Styela clava: one gene and its partner. The protein of the gene in region 1 binds, or shares a complex with, the protein of each later gene. Links are inferred from orthologs where the notes say so. Each region holds a gene or a part of one and is shown in the gene's direction. Other genes may lie near its edges.

Region 1 (7,320 bases):
TCCCGGTATCGCCTTAAAATTATTTACGAATCGAGATAGTTCCATAATCGCGCTACTGCAAGGGATATGTAGCGTGGTTCGAACATACTTCAATAAGACCCGATTCCGGTATTAAACAGACAAATTCTCAGTGTTCGATGAGCAATTTCTACTTTGAGATATCATAAAGAAAAACAGCATCAACTGCGCACTTTTTGGATGACATCGAATATACGATTTTGCAATGAAATCGGGAACAGTATATTTTGGCAAAAAAATTATTCTGAATTTATCGTTTTCAAATTTTTATAATCAGTAATATTTGTACTTCAATTATTTTTACAATTGTTGGGACCTCACCAATACAGTTAGTGATGTTCTTTTGAATTAAACACCCCAGGTGATGAATTTGCGATGAACTAATCATTTTTTATGTACCTTAATTGTACATTATAAAGATGATTTGTACCTGAGATGTCAGTTAACGGTTAAAATAAATCGTAACCGTTAACCATGTAAAATCGGTTAACCGATTGATCGGTTAACCATTTCCAGCCCTATTATTGAAATAATCGTCGCAAGACAATTTTGCCCCGATATCTCCGGACAAAGCACCCTGCATTAGGTCTGATGTTTTTATTGTAATACTAGCATCGATGACCAATGTGATTTTGTTACAGTATTTTATATCGTATACCGAATATCTTTCGCGTGTGTACTGATATTTCCATTCACATCAACTATTTAATACATTTGTCAAAATATTGAGTGATAAGTGTTAAAGTTGCGTGTAGACAATGGTTTAATATGTTAAAGGTTTATATTATATTGGTTATATTATGTTTTATTGTTATTTTATGTTATATTATGTTTTATTATATTATATTGACCGACCTAATATTGAGTATCTGGTTTTGGAGTATTAATTTTGAACCATTAAAGTCAATAAGATAGGCAGAAATATATAGACCTATTTCGTCGAAGCGATAAACAACAACTAACCAGTGAACACCTGAGTGTCGCTGTCTTACGTCTGCAAGGGAACCGAACGAGACAACACCACATCCTTTCGGGAGACGCAAACTGCAAGTAGCTTCAATCGTTTCCTAATCTAACGGACTAATTTAACAAGCATTAGTTAGGGACAGAACTACTAATCCACAACGTCATCAAAAAACCGACATAACCGGTCCAGATTACCAGTTCTCACGACTCTAAAAATTCTTGGTATTATCATTAATTTCAATAAGAGAAGGATGCAGACATCGCAATTCATTGTATCAACTCCTTCACAGTGGGGAACGCGCACTAATATAACCAGGATTAGGGCCATGATCGGGCCCCAATGCAGTGTAACGCCCGTTGATGAAGTAACAAAAATATTAGTCGCGTCCAGAATGCCATCAAAATTTTCCGTAGTACTAACTGCAATTAACGATGAACCGATAATCATGAACGACAATGAACCTGATAAAGTAACCCGTATGCAGAGTCGGTATTATGCAAATTCAATGAAGGTACAGAGTAGGAAAGACGACAAAATTCCCGGCCAAGACAAATCTGACAAATGAAGCTTGCCAACGAGGGCCCTTGGATAAAATCTGGAAAGAGCCCAGATTTGGTAAAACGCAAATTCGGAATGATATATATTAGTAACAACAAAGATGAATGTTCGGCGAAAATGGCCAAGGTATGCCCTGAAAAAACACCTGAATGGGACCCAGATGAGGCGACGATACAGCTGGTCAATACTGAAAGTATGAGCAAGCTGCCAGAATCTAGAAACAACAGCAAAGCATCTGCCCGAGTGGCTAAAGAGAAAAAAGTCTTCATTGATCAACCTTCTGTGAGAACCAGCCAGCAGAATAGTGAAGAATATGTTAATATCAAAATGGATGAAATCCGAGGAAACGTCCAAATGCAGTTGAAAAGCAAAATCATGATGCGAAACCCAAAATGACGACTGCTGATCACTCGTTTCGGGATATGCCAGAAGCTGGCCGAGATAATGACCGCTCCGAAGCAGATGCACTTCGTATATCCAATGACGTGACAAAATTCATATTGGAGGGAAGTTGTAAAGTTTTGCTGAGGGGTTTACTTTCGAGTAATCGAGTAACACCCCGGATGAACACTGCGATTAGAGGGTGGAGAAGTGCAACTAAGCGAAAAGTGCGGCGTTGACTCGTGTAGAGCGATGTGGCAGTGTACAAAGATATTTATTATTGTTAAAAAATTTGTGTTAGCGTATATTTTGTTGTACGAATAACATATCGGGGCATCCGAGTAAAAGTGCCGTACGCACCGTATGCCTAAGCTAATTGGAATATTTAGAAAAATGATTTCTGTCTAAAGCTCAATTTAATAGCACAAAATACGAATAGGATAATAGAGCAAAATTTTTACAGTCGAAATTGGGTTATTATTATTTTGGCATAGTTGGGAAATATGAACTCTTATTTTGGTAGAGTCATGGAACTAATTTTCTGTGAACAGGGAGTCATTAAATGCTAGCGTGGTCTTGTCCGCGCACTGCATATCAAGAAACTATTCCTATTTTAGCAGTGAGTCTTGAAAACAGGAAATTCTCTGCGAAATGAGGTCACATATGTTGAAAAGTCTATGACTTGTGGTTTTTTAGCAAAACGTCGCATTCGTATATATTGCAAAAAGGTTTTACGTAAATTGGGCACTTATGACTCACAATTAAACCTGGACTGTCGCTTTTGATATTATAAAAAGGGTTTATGTTAATTATTTGTATTATTCACGTAATCTTGATCTCAAAAATTAGAAATGGGATTCTAAGTTAAGTTATATTGTAAGAAAATGTTCGTAATTTATTACTATTATTTTAGTTTAGAATTAGTTACAAAGTTGTTAACGTTAAATGTCTTTGAGTTTTGTATTTTAATTTTTTTTGCCAATTGTAAAGTTTAAATGTCTTTCATTCTGGAAATTGCAACATGATGTAGTGATTGGGAATATTGTTGATCAAATGTTGAATATTCAAATGTTCTCACAAAAAACACATGTTGTTGACTTGTAATTGAACCGCAAACGATTTCTGAAAATGTTCGACATGAAGTTTATCCCACCTGTCAATCAATTCACCCACGTTATGAAATGTAATTATTGTATGAATAGGTCATGTGGGATCAAGCATGTTATAAGACTTTGGAATTTCTCATTGATTTAAACTTAGCGTGTATGTATGTATTTTCATTTTTGTGCTTATATCTGAATTTTTATTAGGGCTTAAGGAATTAATACGCATATATTTATATCGTGTATGTATTTGGTTTATGCACTACTCATTTTTAATCTTTTAGGTAATCTTGCTTACTCGTACGACTAAATGACTTGAAACTTTATTTTATTATTATTTTTGAGTTTAATGTTCAATTTATTTTTGATTAAATTGTTCATTATTGATTAATCGGGCGCATCCGAATGGAGAATGTAAGTCGTAATTTCATGTTTTTATTTTGTTATATTGCATAGTAAAGTTATACCGCATACTGAATGCGATTATTTATTGGGATTGTTCCAACTTGTATTTTAAAACTCATAAAAAAACTATAAAACGGAACAGTTGAAAACTCTTAATATAACCAATACTTTCACCCACCAGACTTAGGAACAAAATCGGGGCCACCATGCAAAAACTAAATTGCTGATGAATGTAACATATATTCCGGTTTCAGTGTATTTGAACAATTTCACCTCGGCGGAGTAATTATCTGTAAGTTATATACATACTTTATAAATGAGTAAATATGACTGAGCAGAGAAAAACACTCGAAAAAAATGGAGGCACCACTGGGATTGATTTGAGGGCAATTGTCACGGCAGATTACATTGTCATGACCAACGCACCATATTAGGTGTTTCTAATGAAAGATTAACTTCGGTATCAAGGGTCCTTGGCGATCTACGGTCGATTGTGGATGGTTAAACATAGAGCTGATGTGTCTATGGAATTATTCAATGAACAATGTGATTTTGTTACAATATTTCATATCGTATGCCAATTATCTTTTGTGTGTGTAATGATATTTTCATGCATAAATATCGAATATTTAGCAAAATATTATGTGAAAAGTAGTGACGATTATGATCACTGATAAATGTATATTTCAGTGATCAAGTTGGTGTTTTGAAATTTCGTGTAGACAACGTTTCAATATGTTAAATGTTTATATTAGTTTGGGTATATTATGTTTTTTTTGTATTAACCGAACTAATATTGGAGTGTTTGGTTGTATTAAGGCTTAGACCATAAAATTAAATAAGATCGGCAGATTCGGGTCGCTCTGAGACTCGAGTTGGTGTGGACGAAGACCTCTGTCGTCGAAACGATAAACAATTTACCGATGAACATCTGAGTGTCGCTGTTGTACGTCTGTAAGATCTGCAAGAGAACCGAACGAGACAGCACCACATCAAGAAAATCGCCGTGGAGAGGCAGCCCTGCGAGAAGACGCAAACTGCAAGTAGCTTTAATCGTTTCCTAATCTAATTGACTAATTTAATCAGCATTAGTAAGGGACAGGACTACTGATTCCCAGCGTCGCCAACAAAACGGCAACACCAGTCCAGAATACCAGCCTTTACGAGAGAAATTTTAAAAGAAGAGCTGAGAATTGCATGCTTGCACGTTAATACTTTTCCAAGACATTTATAGGAGATGGTGCTAAATTGGTTCAAGAAGGGGAGGGCGCGCCTTACAAGGGGGAAGAGAAACTTCGGGAAATAATGAGTCTAATCAAACAGGCCATAGAGAGACACAAGAATGTTAGCGGGACGGAAAAGAAACTCTGCAAAGACTTGATAAGACTTTTTGCCGAAATGCAACGCGAACTATCGAGTGCTAAAAAAAGGAATTGGAACAGGCAAAGAAAGAGGTCAAGAAAGCCGAAATTAATCTCGCAACTGTAGAAAAGGGGGCAAAAAAGACCAGTACGAAAGTTAATGTAGAAGATTTCCAAAAGGTATTCAAGACGAATACCAGGCTGGGAAATTGTACATGGAATCCTTATTGGAGGATTCGGCAAATGCGCAGCCAGCGTACGCAGCGGTTAAAGCAATAGAGCCAACGGCTCCAGTGCCATCGCCGCCCTCTTACAGTGCCACTCCAATCAAGCGATAAATCTCCCTAAATTTGTGGGCAATCCACATCGAGATTCCCGAGGGCCTATCAATGGTCGTGGAGAAGGGATTTGACAGCCAACAGGTTAACGTGGTAAGAAATATATTGTCAAATAGTCATTTTCATCAGTCAGTAATTTATTTCTTCACGATACTCAAAAAAGAAGATATATATATATCCGTAAACCATAACTGGTTGCACAAACGACGTTAGGGATGATTTCAATTATTCCGCGAAAGTAGTTCTTACCGTAGTTGAACAATGGCATAGCCATAGATGTGTTGGCGCAGACGATCACCCTGGTACGTTTTATGTAACATCTCAAAATGCCTTACACGATAAGTCTCCGAATTACTTACATTTTCCATTCAACGAATTTATTTAAATATGTCATTACCAGATGCGCATTGTAAATTTATATCCGTTTTTAATTGCTGAAACTCATAATTTGTTTGCTAAATTATTACAAAGACAATCAACTTTATTAATTAATCAAGGGCTACATTCATTGAAAATACCATCTGACTGCAAAACCCGATGGCTGTACATTCAGGCTGTTGTAGATAGAAATACCAATAATCTCTAGCTCTTCAAAACTATTTTTACTAAATTAGTCCCGCCCACTTAAAAGCTGATCCACTACTCACTTGTACAATCGAAGATTATATAAATTCCAGGCTTATTTATTATCTTATCTCCCGTTATAAACTAGCTGGAACAGAGGCTTCAAAAAAATATTCAACCTTGTAAAGTGGAACAACAACACAGAATCAGGGAAGTTTTGGGCTGAAGGATATGCAAAAAATTCCCTGACTTCATTTTCAGAATACTTTGAGTTCGCTAAGCAAGTGTAGCGTACCGACAGACGATGAAATAATTATCCAAGTTCAAAATATCTTCCAATATGGTCTGACGTCAAGTTTCTTCTCAATATTCACTTCAAGTAATGTTATTTTATTCTATTTATTATTCATCAATCTTAATACAACCAAATACTTCAAACAAAAGACAAGCATACAATAAAGCGACAAGTACCAGGTAGCACAATGCAAGAAAACAGAATATACACAATAAAAACACTTTGAACAGTACTGATGATAGCTAATTCCCTGACAACAATCAAAAATACAACGATAAAATAACTGCAATGGCACTGTACTGGAACAATAATATCAGCCTACTGTCTAGCATAAAAACATCCAACAAATCTCCATCCCGCAGTCACAAAACCACAAACAAAGATCCCTGATAACCCACCTGAGACCAGAGGCACTCCCACCGACACTCATGACCAGAATCCAACCACACTGTACCGGTACCAACCACATCACACCACAGCACAGCACACGCTAACAGCCACACCCAAAAAGAACAGAACCGACAGTGTCACAGCGTGTGTCCTCCCAGTGTCCCCATTGTCAAAATACCAAATAAGACAATAATTTCACATGACAGCATTTAAAACCTTCCCCAACCGATCTGTCTGGTGCCATTTTACATGGGTTATTTTTTGTCAACCATTAGGCCCCCAAAGCTTCACTCATGGCTTTTTATTAGCGTGTGATAGAGCTCTATTCAGCAATATATGTAAAACGCACTCATCTAAAAAAAAATTTTTTTACGCCAAAATTCAAAAATTTCTATTGAACTTGCAAGATTTTGTGTCTAGTAGAAGGTTAATAATTATTCCTAGTTAATTAATTTTTATTTTAACCTTTTTTTGTGTTATTTTTCAACAGAACAGCACCAAAACCACTATTATAGCAAGGATGGTCACTCTAAAATTCACGATTGTATTTACTAAATTTTTAAGTTCAAGGCTTCAATTGACAATTTTGATGACGCCACACCTCTAATTATTAGTGCACACGCCCCCCTCAATGCAAAAAATGTTACTTTTTCCGACGGAAATGCGCGTAGAAAGCCGTAAACATTATAATGTGCGCCGTTACGCGTGAAAATTACCATTAATTTTACGTTTTTTTCGCGTTTGAAAATTCTGGATACCTCTGCCAAGTATGGTGCAGTCAAAATCATATTTATCAAAATATCACAGCGCCAGGGATGATATGTCTGACTGAAAATACATGCTAAACCAATAATAAGTCATTATAAAGGAGTTAATGCTATTGATTTTCTGTCTGAGTCGCGTCAACAATTTTACACATCTGAATGGCGATTTTGAAATC
Region 2 (7,707 bases), about 7.5 Mb from region 1:
TCGAAAAAAATAATTTCGAATGTATTCGAAATAGTGAACTATTCGGTATTGGCCATCCCTGCTTACAACTTTTTTGTCGAGTATGAAAGTCACTGCGCTTGACTACTATTTCACCACTTCAATTTTTTAAAATAAACTTTTATTGCTAAATACCAAACCTAGCTTAATTGTTGTCATTTTATATTTTCTGCTTCTAGTCTGATGAAACATCGGCAGAAATAGAATGGAAAGCAATTGAAGGAGGAACAGAATATAGAGTATACTATCACGAAACGGTAAATTTCTTTATGTTTCTATTTGTCTATGTGCGCGGGCTCAAATTGGAATTCATGAATTGGCGAATGAGACTTCTGAAACGTTGGTTTGTTGGGAGGACCGTAATCTCTTTGATTTGGCATTTCCTACATAAATTTACACCATTCTTAATTAGGAGCAAGATCTTTACATCTTTAGATCAAACGCTTCAACATATGCACTATTGAAAGATTGAATGAGAATTAACCTAGCTTTTTTGCATACATGAAATTTTAATAAGTTTATTGGAAACAAAATGTGCATATGGATCAATTTGCTATAGTCTTGCTGTTGTTGTTTGGGTAATTTTTATTGTTCATATATTTGACACCACTCTATTTTATGTTTCTAGATGATGGCGGATAAGAAAGCTTATGATGGACCAATTCTAGGCTGTGCTGAAGCTGGATCTACCATGTCAGCTACCATAAACAACTTGCAGAAAAACCAGGACTATTCAGTTTGGATTCAAGTTAAAAGAGATGGCCAATTTTTGGCCAATCTGTTAGGGGATAAAATCCCTAAATCCCGCCCATGAATTGTATGAACTTTCTGTCGAAATTGATGTTGTGCATATTAATAAAGTATATTCAAAACTAGAATATTTTGTGCTATCGATTGGGTTTCTACAAGACCAACTACTTTTCCGTTTTCTTTGCTTTTGCTTTTTCTAGAATATTTTTCTTGAAAATTTAAGGCAATAAACATCATATCTAAAAAGTCAAATGTGTAGGCTACATTTCTTGCGCTACCGCTCGAGTGGCAGAATGAGTTTTATCAATTTGTCAACCAAAAAATACAGTCATCAATAAAATAGCAACCGCAATAAAATTGTTTTGTTATGGTCAGGAGGGAGCGATACGATCATACATGGAGGTCAGCATCCACCATATTCTTTGATGTGAATAAAATTCACACAGGAAGATGACTACTAACAAAACATGAACTAGTACAATAGTAATAATACGACAATGTCTTGATTTGGTTATTAAGGAAATACTAACTCAGAAAAAGATTATGCGACTGTCAGGTCGCTTAGTTTTTAAATTTACTCCGCGTGGGTTCGCAGGTTGGAATCCCTTGGAATAATTATGTGCGAAAGGATTTCTCGTCGCCATAGGGTGGTTAAGGTAACCGATTTTTTTGTATTCTCTAAGAGAGAGGGAAAATGAGGTGTTTAGCCAGAAAACAGAAAAACAATCACTGCAACAATAAAAATATACAACTTACCCCGTAATTTAAGAGTTTTGAATCAGATAAGTTAGTTATTATCACGCTTGCTACAGCATTCTTGCATTATATGCATACGGATCCACCGACACAAAAGCATAGAAGAGGGATAAGTAGTTAGTTTCGCAGAAACCAAATCATACCCCCTAAACTAAATGTACATAAAAAGTAATTTTAGTTAGTTTGCAAAGATCAACAATCTGTACATTAGTTTATTTTTATTTGATGCCTCATTGGCTATTATATTCTCCGGAAAAATTTTATATTTATCTTTCTTCCGACATTCAGTACACTACACGATGAACAAGAGAGCTATGCTCAAATATATGGACATAAAATTTTGATGACGTCATAGCGAAAATTTTTTTTAACTTTAACCACTGAAAATTTCAAAGCAATTGGTCCAGTATACGAAGAGAAAAGCGATTTATTCAAAACGTGTTGCTTGAGACAAATAATAACAATAACAACAAAATTTTGAAACGATCGTTATGTCCACTACGTGTCCAAAAGTGAATGAAAATATACCACGTGACCTAACTTTGACACGCGCGAGTGCATTTGCACATTTTATAAAACGTACGTCTTGCGTTTCAGCGTCGGCGTGTTGATTGATTCAGTTTTTACGCGTTTTCATGTTTTACTTCCCCAGAATCTGAGAATAGAACAGTATTATTTCGATGGGAGACAGGCTAGACTAATTGTATTTTTATCCTTTGCGGTAGAAGTTATGGTGACCGTACATTTGAACCCATAAGAATATCCGCGGGTTCAATCTATATGCGTCTGCTAAAACTGTAAAACCCATTGGGATGGTTAGTATGGGTTCAAATATCCAGAATATCCGCAAAAAAAAATCCCTGATGCAATAGTATGCAGGTGCAATTGTCGTGGGTTTAAATGTACGGGTACCAGAAGTTATAAGTAGGCTATATTCAACCGTGTGCAATGTCAGAATGTAGGACAATAGGATGTTAAATTTTCCGATTTTATTTTGGGAAAAACAAGAAAACGTGAACATTCACCTATCCACTGTAGACTACATACAGACATAGGCCATAATTATACGGTATCTTATGAATTTAACAAAGTATCTCATCATAATCTTAAATCACATTAAAAACAGCAATATCAGAATATTGTATTTTGAAATTCAAACTAGCCTACACAGCTACAGGACTACGGTACCCGTACCTAAACTACAAAACAAAATTCGGGTCTGGTATAGTTTAGTAGTCTATCACATGTCTGACTTCTAGTTGGCCTGGCTCCACAATTATTGCATATGCCATTTCTAACCCCCACCTGACTGCGTCATCCAAAAATTACGGGTCTAATATAGTTTAGTACCACAAGTACTTCTGGTTGACCAGACTGGAATCCATGGCAGGTGCACGCCCGAGGGCGCTAGCGCTCCGCGAAAATGCACGCGAGCGAATTCAATTTTGCACGCCGAAAATTTGCAATTGCTCACCAATGTAAATCGGTTTAAATTGTTTTAAAATCAATAATCCAGTAATATAAAGATGCCAAAATAGTATAACTCCACAATTGTCGACTAATACTAGCTTGCAAAATTTGGTCTGATCGAAAAATGCGAAGCAAAAAAGACCATATCGTGTTGAATGATAGGAATCCCGTGAGAATAGTTATGGACGAAAAGATCGCCTCCGCACCAACGCTGGCCAGGTACGGCTCTGATTTAGCGTATTTTTCATACAATAATTTTACACGAATGTACTGAACAGTACCGGTATTTAAAGTCGAACAAACACTCTCAAAATTAGTGACGGAGTATAAAAATACTGTTTGGGGTCAATGGTCAAACGTCCAATTTTGCTCTAATTTGATGTATTTTTATTAATTCTACGTAAAAACACTCCCAAAATTAATGACAAAGTATGTCCATTTTTCTCTGGTTCAACGTATTTTTTATTCAATAATTTTACGCGGATGTACTGAACACTACCGGTATCCAATATCGCACAAACACTCTCAAAATTAGCGACAAACTGTAGAAAAAATGTTTGGGGTTAAAGGTCAAACGTCCATTTTTGCTCTGATTCAACGTATTTTTTATCCGATACCGGACGGTGATGTATCGAGAGGTATCTAATGTCAAAGTCAGTTGCACGCGGGCGCAGTTGTTTTGCACGCCGTGAGCTATAATTGCAGAGCCATTATATAATGGCTCTGATAATTGCACGCCAGGGATTCTTATTTGCACGCAGGAATTTCTGATTGCACGCCCGATTTCTCGTTCAAAAAGGCCATGAAAACCAGACTGGGTAGTCTATCACATGTCTGACTTCTAGTTGGCCTGGCTCCACAATTATTGCATATGCCATTTCTAACCCCCACCTGACCGCGTCATCCAAAAATTACGGGTCTAATATAGTTTAGTACCACAAGTACTTCTGGTTGACGTAGCATAACGAATTTTGCATATGTTCTTCCTAACCCCTACCTGACTATGTCTTCTAAAACTTTATTCCCAACGACGTCACAATCACATCATACAGTCATAGATCTTGCCAAAGTATAGCTACGACTGTACGATCACTCGAAAGGGCATCTGCATCGACGATAACGAACTCACTAACACCCGTGTTCTCTCGCATATCGGGATTGCTGGAGGTCTTTATTACGCCACTGTGGCGTCGTAGTGACGTAACTTTTGGTGACGTAGTCAGGCAGTACAGCACACAATCCAAATTCCAAGAATTACCCTCCATTTGGCTCAATGAAACAAACACTCTATGTGTCTCACAAATGAGGGGCATCTGGGACCACGTCGGATGCTTCATATCGCGCCATGCTTATCTCAATAATAATTAATCGCAGCCGTCACATGACCAAAATTGCCGTTTTTTGCTAAAAACGTTCGAATAAAATTTTTTTCCTTCGGTAAATCGGATTATTTTTTCCCAAGGATAACAATGATGACGTTACTAGATTGTGCTTTTTTGTAGTATTTTGCGCAAATTCATTATACTGTTTTATTATCGATATTGAGGTACAACAATGTCCAGACGTCTCCCAAAGGAGGTGTGTCTGATCATCTGTAAAATGGGATTGAGGATTGACATATGCAAAAATTGTCGATTCAGGTCAACTAGAAGTGCATGTGGTACTAAACTATACCAGACCCTTATGGCCCTTGCTTCCCAGTACTTCTAATAACTTCTACAATTTTTGTATTAGAAAGCTGTAAGTATAAAAGTTTATGGAAACTTGCTCGTAGGTAGCTAGTTTCACTCGGGCTGTCACAAGTTTGTAGAGCGTTGCTCACAACTTGAACCAGCATGGCGTTTCAATATGGAATGCAACCTCCACCAGGTATGCCACCACCTGGTATGCCACCTGGAATATCACAACCTCCCCCTCCTGCTGGTGGACTCAGTGAGGAACGATTACAGGTTGGTTGTGTTTTTACTTGAATTTTTTATGATTTTTACTGAAGGGAATACTTCAGTTATGCAAGATGAAGTTTCATGATCAATATATTGTAACATGACCACTATGACTGAGCATTTTAGCGTATTTGATGATTTCAAAATCGATTCAATTTTTTTTTTTGGAGGTGAATTTTGGATACCTACTTAATACAACGACTGAGGTATAATACAACGACTTAATTGCATGTTATATTTTTATTGTAATGGAAGATATAGAACCCAACACTCGGTCAGTCCTGCAGTCACATACAATAGGGAACATGTTTCATCAATAACTCAATAGGAAGAATAAAGTCATATGTCAGAATTACATTTCGAAAACATGGCTTCAATAAAAAAATTGAGCAATTCACTAAAATAACAAGATGACGGAGTTTCGAAATTTTCGTCTGAACCGATTCGAATAAATTAATATTCGTTTAGACTCGAATATTCAATTCAAAATGCCCATCCCTTATATCCAGGTTGTTATAAGTATTTTGTTGGAACAAAATTTGGAATTGAAAAATCTGTAAAAAAATTATTGATGAGAGTGTAATGAACAGTGCAACCCCAAACAAAGTAGATTCCAATTTATAATAGTTTCTTACCCGGTTATCTGCCTGTGCAAAGCCTTGTTTGTAGCATAAACAATAATATATCATATAAAAAATAATGTCTGTTTATTGGTTCTAGGAAAAAGCTAGAAAATGGCAACAATTGCAATCAAAACGTTACGCAGAGAAAAGAAAGTTTGGATTTGTCGACCCACAAAAGGAAGACATGCCACCAGAACATGTCAGGAAAATTGTGAAGGATCATGGAGATATGACAAACAGGAAATTTCGCCATGATAAAAGAGTTTATTTGGGGTAAAAATATTTGTTTTTATACTGATGGTTTTAATATATAAGTTGCCAGTCAGTGTTAATTGAAAGTGAATGTTTCTTTCTTTATTTTTCAATTTTTCGTCTTGTAATTATAAAATTCAATTTATGTTTGTTGCACTGGAATGTACTCGATACCTGATATGTAAAAATACTTTGTTTTGAAAATTACGGTATTTAAAATACTGCATTCTTTAATTTTTGCCATCTCTGATTCAGAATATAACTTTTTGATGGTTCCAGCGTATTATATTCTCATAGTCTGAAGAATTCAGTTTCTTATTAAATAACTTATACATTTTCTGATAATTTTTTTCTTATCAATCCAGGGCTCTGAAGTACATGCCTCATGCTGTTCTAAAACTACTTGAGAACATGCCAATGCCTTGGGAACAGATTCGGGATGTTTCCGTCATTTATCACATCACTGGAGCTATTACTTTTGTCAATGAGATTCCATGGGTCATTGAGCCAGCTTATATCGCTCAATGGGGGTAAGATTGTGATATGAAAATTAAATAAAACAAGTTTGTTTAGTGGAAATTGTTATATTAATACAGAAAAAAAACTTATTTATAAATATGTATAATGAGGAAAATGCATTAGGTATCTGAAATATTAGTTTATTTTAAAATAAGCAATAGATATTTTGTTATTACCAGTATACTTTATGCAGGAGTTATTAAATTAGTAATTGTTGTCAATATTAGCGTTGTACTGTGCCTCCCTCCAAAAGAAAAAAAAACGGAACCCAGCTGATAGGGAACATATTCTCGAGAGGCCGTAACTTTTTTGAAAAGCTTTCCAGATTACTAAAACTTTTGGGTACAATCATACTCCGAACTTAGGTGCTGAATAAATATTCTTCATTCTCGTAGGATTTGTTAAAAAAAATTATGAGTTCTATTTTTTGGGCCAATCTATATGTGTGTGAAAATTACTGATGCGTGATGCCTAAATAATTACTTGATTATTATTTTTTTCATTGAAACCAATTCTTTTTACCAGTAATAATAAGTGTGATCAGCTGTGTAGTTATCGGTTTCAATAACTTTATGGATTGAAACATTTGGATTGCCTCAATGTTAAATGTATTTTAGACTTTAGACAGTTTGAATGAAGTAAGCTTATCAAGCAAGCAAAATAAGTGGTGCTTTGCTCGAATATAAACATTTTTCAAGCTTCATATAAATTTTGCATTTAGACTGGTCATAGTAATAAAAAATATTGTCGGGTTACACTGCGGTTCCCAAACTTTTTGTTCGTGTGGCGGCAACTTATCAGGGAAAAAACTCACGGCGCACTCACATGTGAAAAAAGAAAGTGCTTTAAAATAAAACTCAATTTTGTGATCGTCAATATTCAATCATATTTTAGTTATGTTTGATATAATTCTTTTAATTTTTGCAGTGCACTAGGCAACTTGTGCACCTATTGGGAACCACTGTGGTAACACATAATCAGTGTATTATACCGTCTAACTATTTTTCTGTATCTTCTAGTTCAATGTGGATTATGATGCGTCGCGAAAAACGTGATCGTCGTCATTTCAAGAGGATGAGATTTCCTCCTTTTGATGATGAGGAACCTCCTCTTGATTACGCAGATAACGTGCTGGATGTTGATCCTCTTGAAGCTATCCAGCTTGAACTGGATCCGGAAGAAGATTCCTCTGTTTCTGAGTGGTTTTATGATAATAAACCATTGCAGGATGAACCCAAGTAAGGATATTTATATAGTAGAATTTCTTTACCTAAAACTGAAGTATTTTTTCCATTTTAGGGATGTCTGTATACGAATATCTTGATACTCTGAAATTCAGTCTTACAATCAAATTTTATGAGGGAAATCATGATAAT

The links. The genes of interacting proteins can lie anywhere in the genome.
Region 2: U5 small nuclear ribonucleoprotein 40 kDa protein-like (region 1) and pre-mRNA-processing-splicing factor 8 share a complex: the UniProt entries of both Homo sapiens proteins name them as parts of the U4/U6-U5 tri-snRNP complex. The link is inferred for Styela clava from reciprocal best matches to the Homo sapiens genes SNRNP40 and PRPF8.

The regions. Positions count from the first base shown.
Region 1 is NC_135250.1:11,930,486-11,937,805, forward strand, and holds the start of U5 small nuclear ribonucleoprotein 40 kDa protein-like, read left to right. Parts: upstream 1-4,236; 5' UTR 4,237-4,251; intron 4,252-7,320. UniProt on the Homo sapiens protein: Required for pre-mRNA splicing as component of the activated spliceosome. Component of the U5 small nuclear ribonucleoprotein (snRNP) complex and the U4/U6-U5 tri-snRNP complex, building blocks of the spliceosome.
Region 2 is NC_135250.1:4,435,384-4,443,090, forward strand, and holds the start of pre-mRNA-processing-splicing factor 8, read left to right. Parts: upstream 1-4,705; 5' UTR 4,706-4,829; coding exon 4,830-4,943; intron 4,944-5,657; coding exon 5,658-5,833; intron 5,834-6,177; coding exon 6,178-6,342; intron 6,343-7,350; coding exon 7,351-7,569; intron 7,570-7,707. Other genes in the region: uncharacterized protein LOC144428064, read left to right, coding at 198-275, 647-832. UniProt on the Homo sapiens protein: Plays a role in pre-mRNA splicing as core component of precatalytic, catalytic and postcatalytic spliceosomal complexes, both of the predominant U2-type spliceosome and the minor U12-type spliceosome.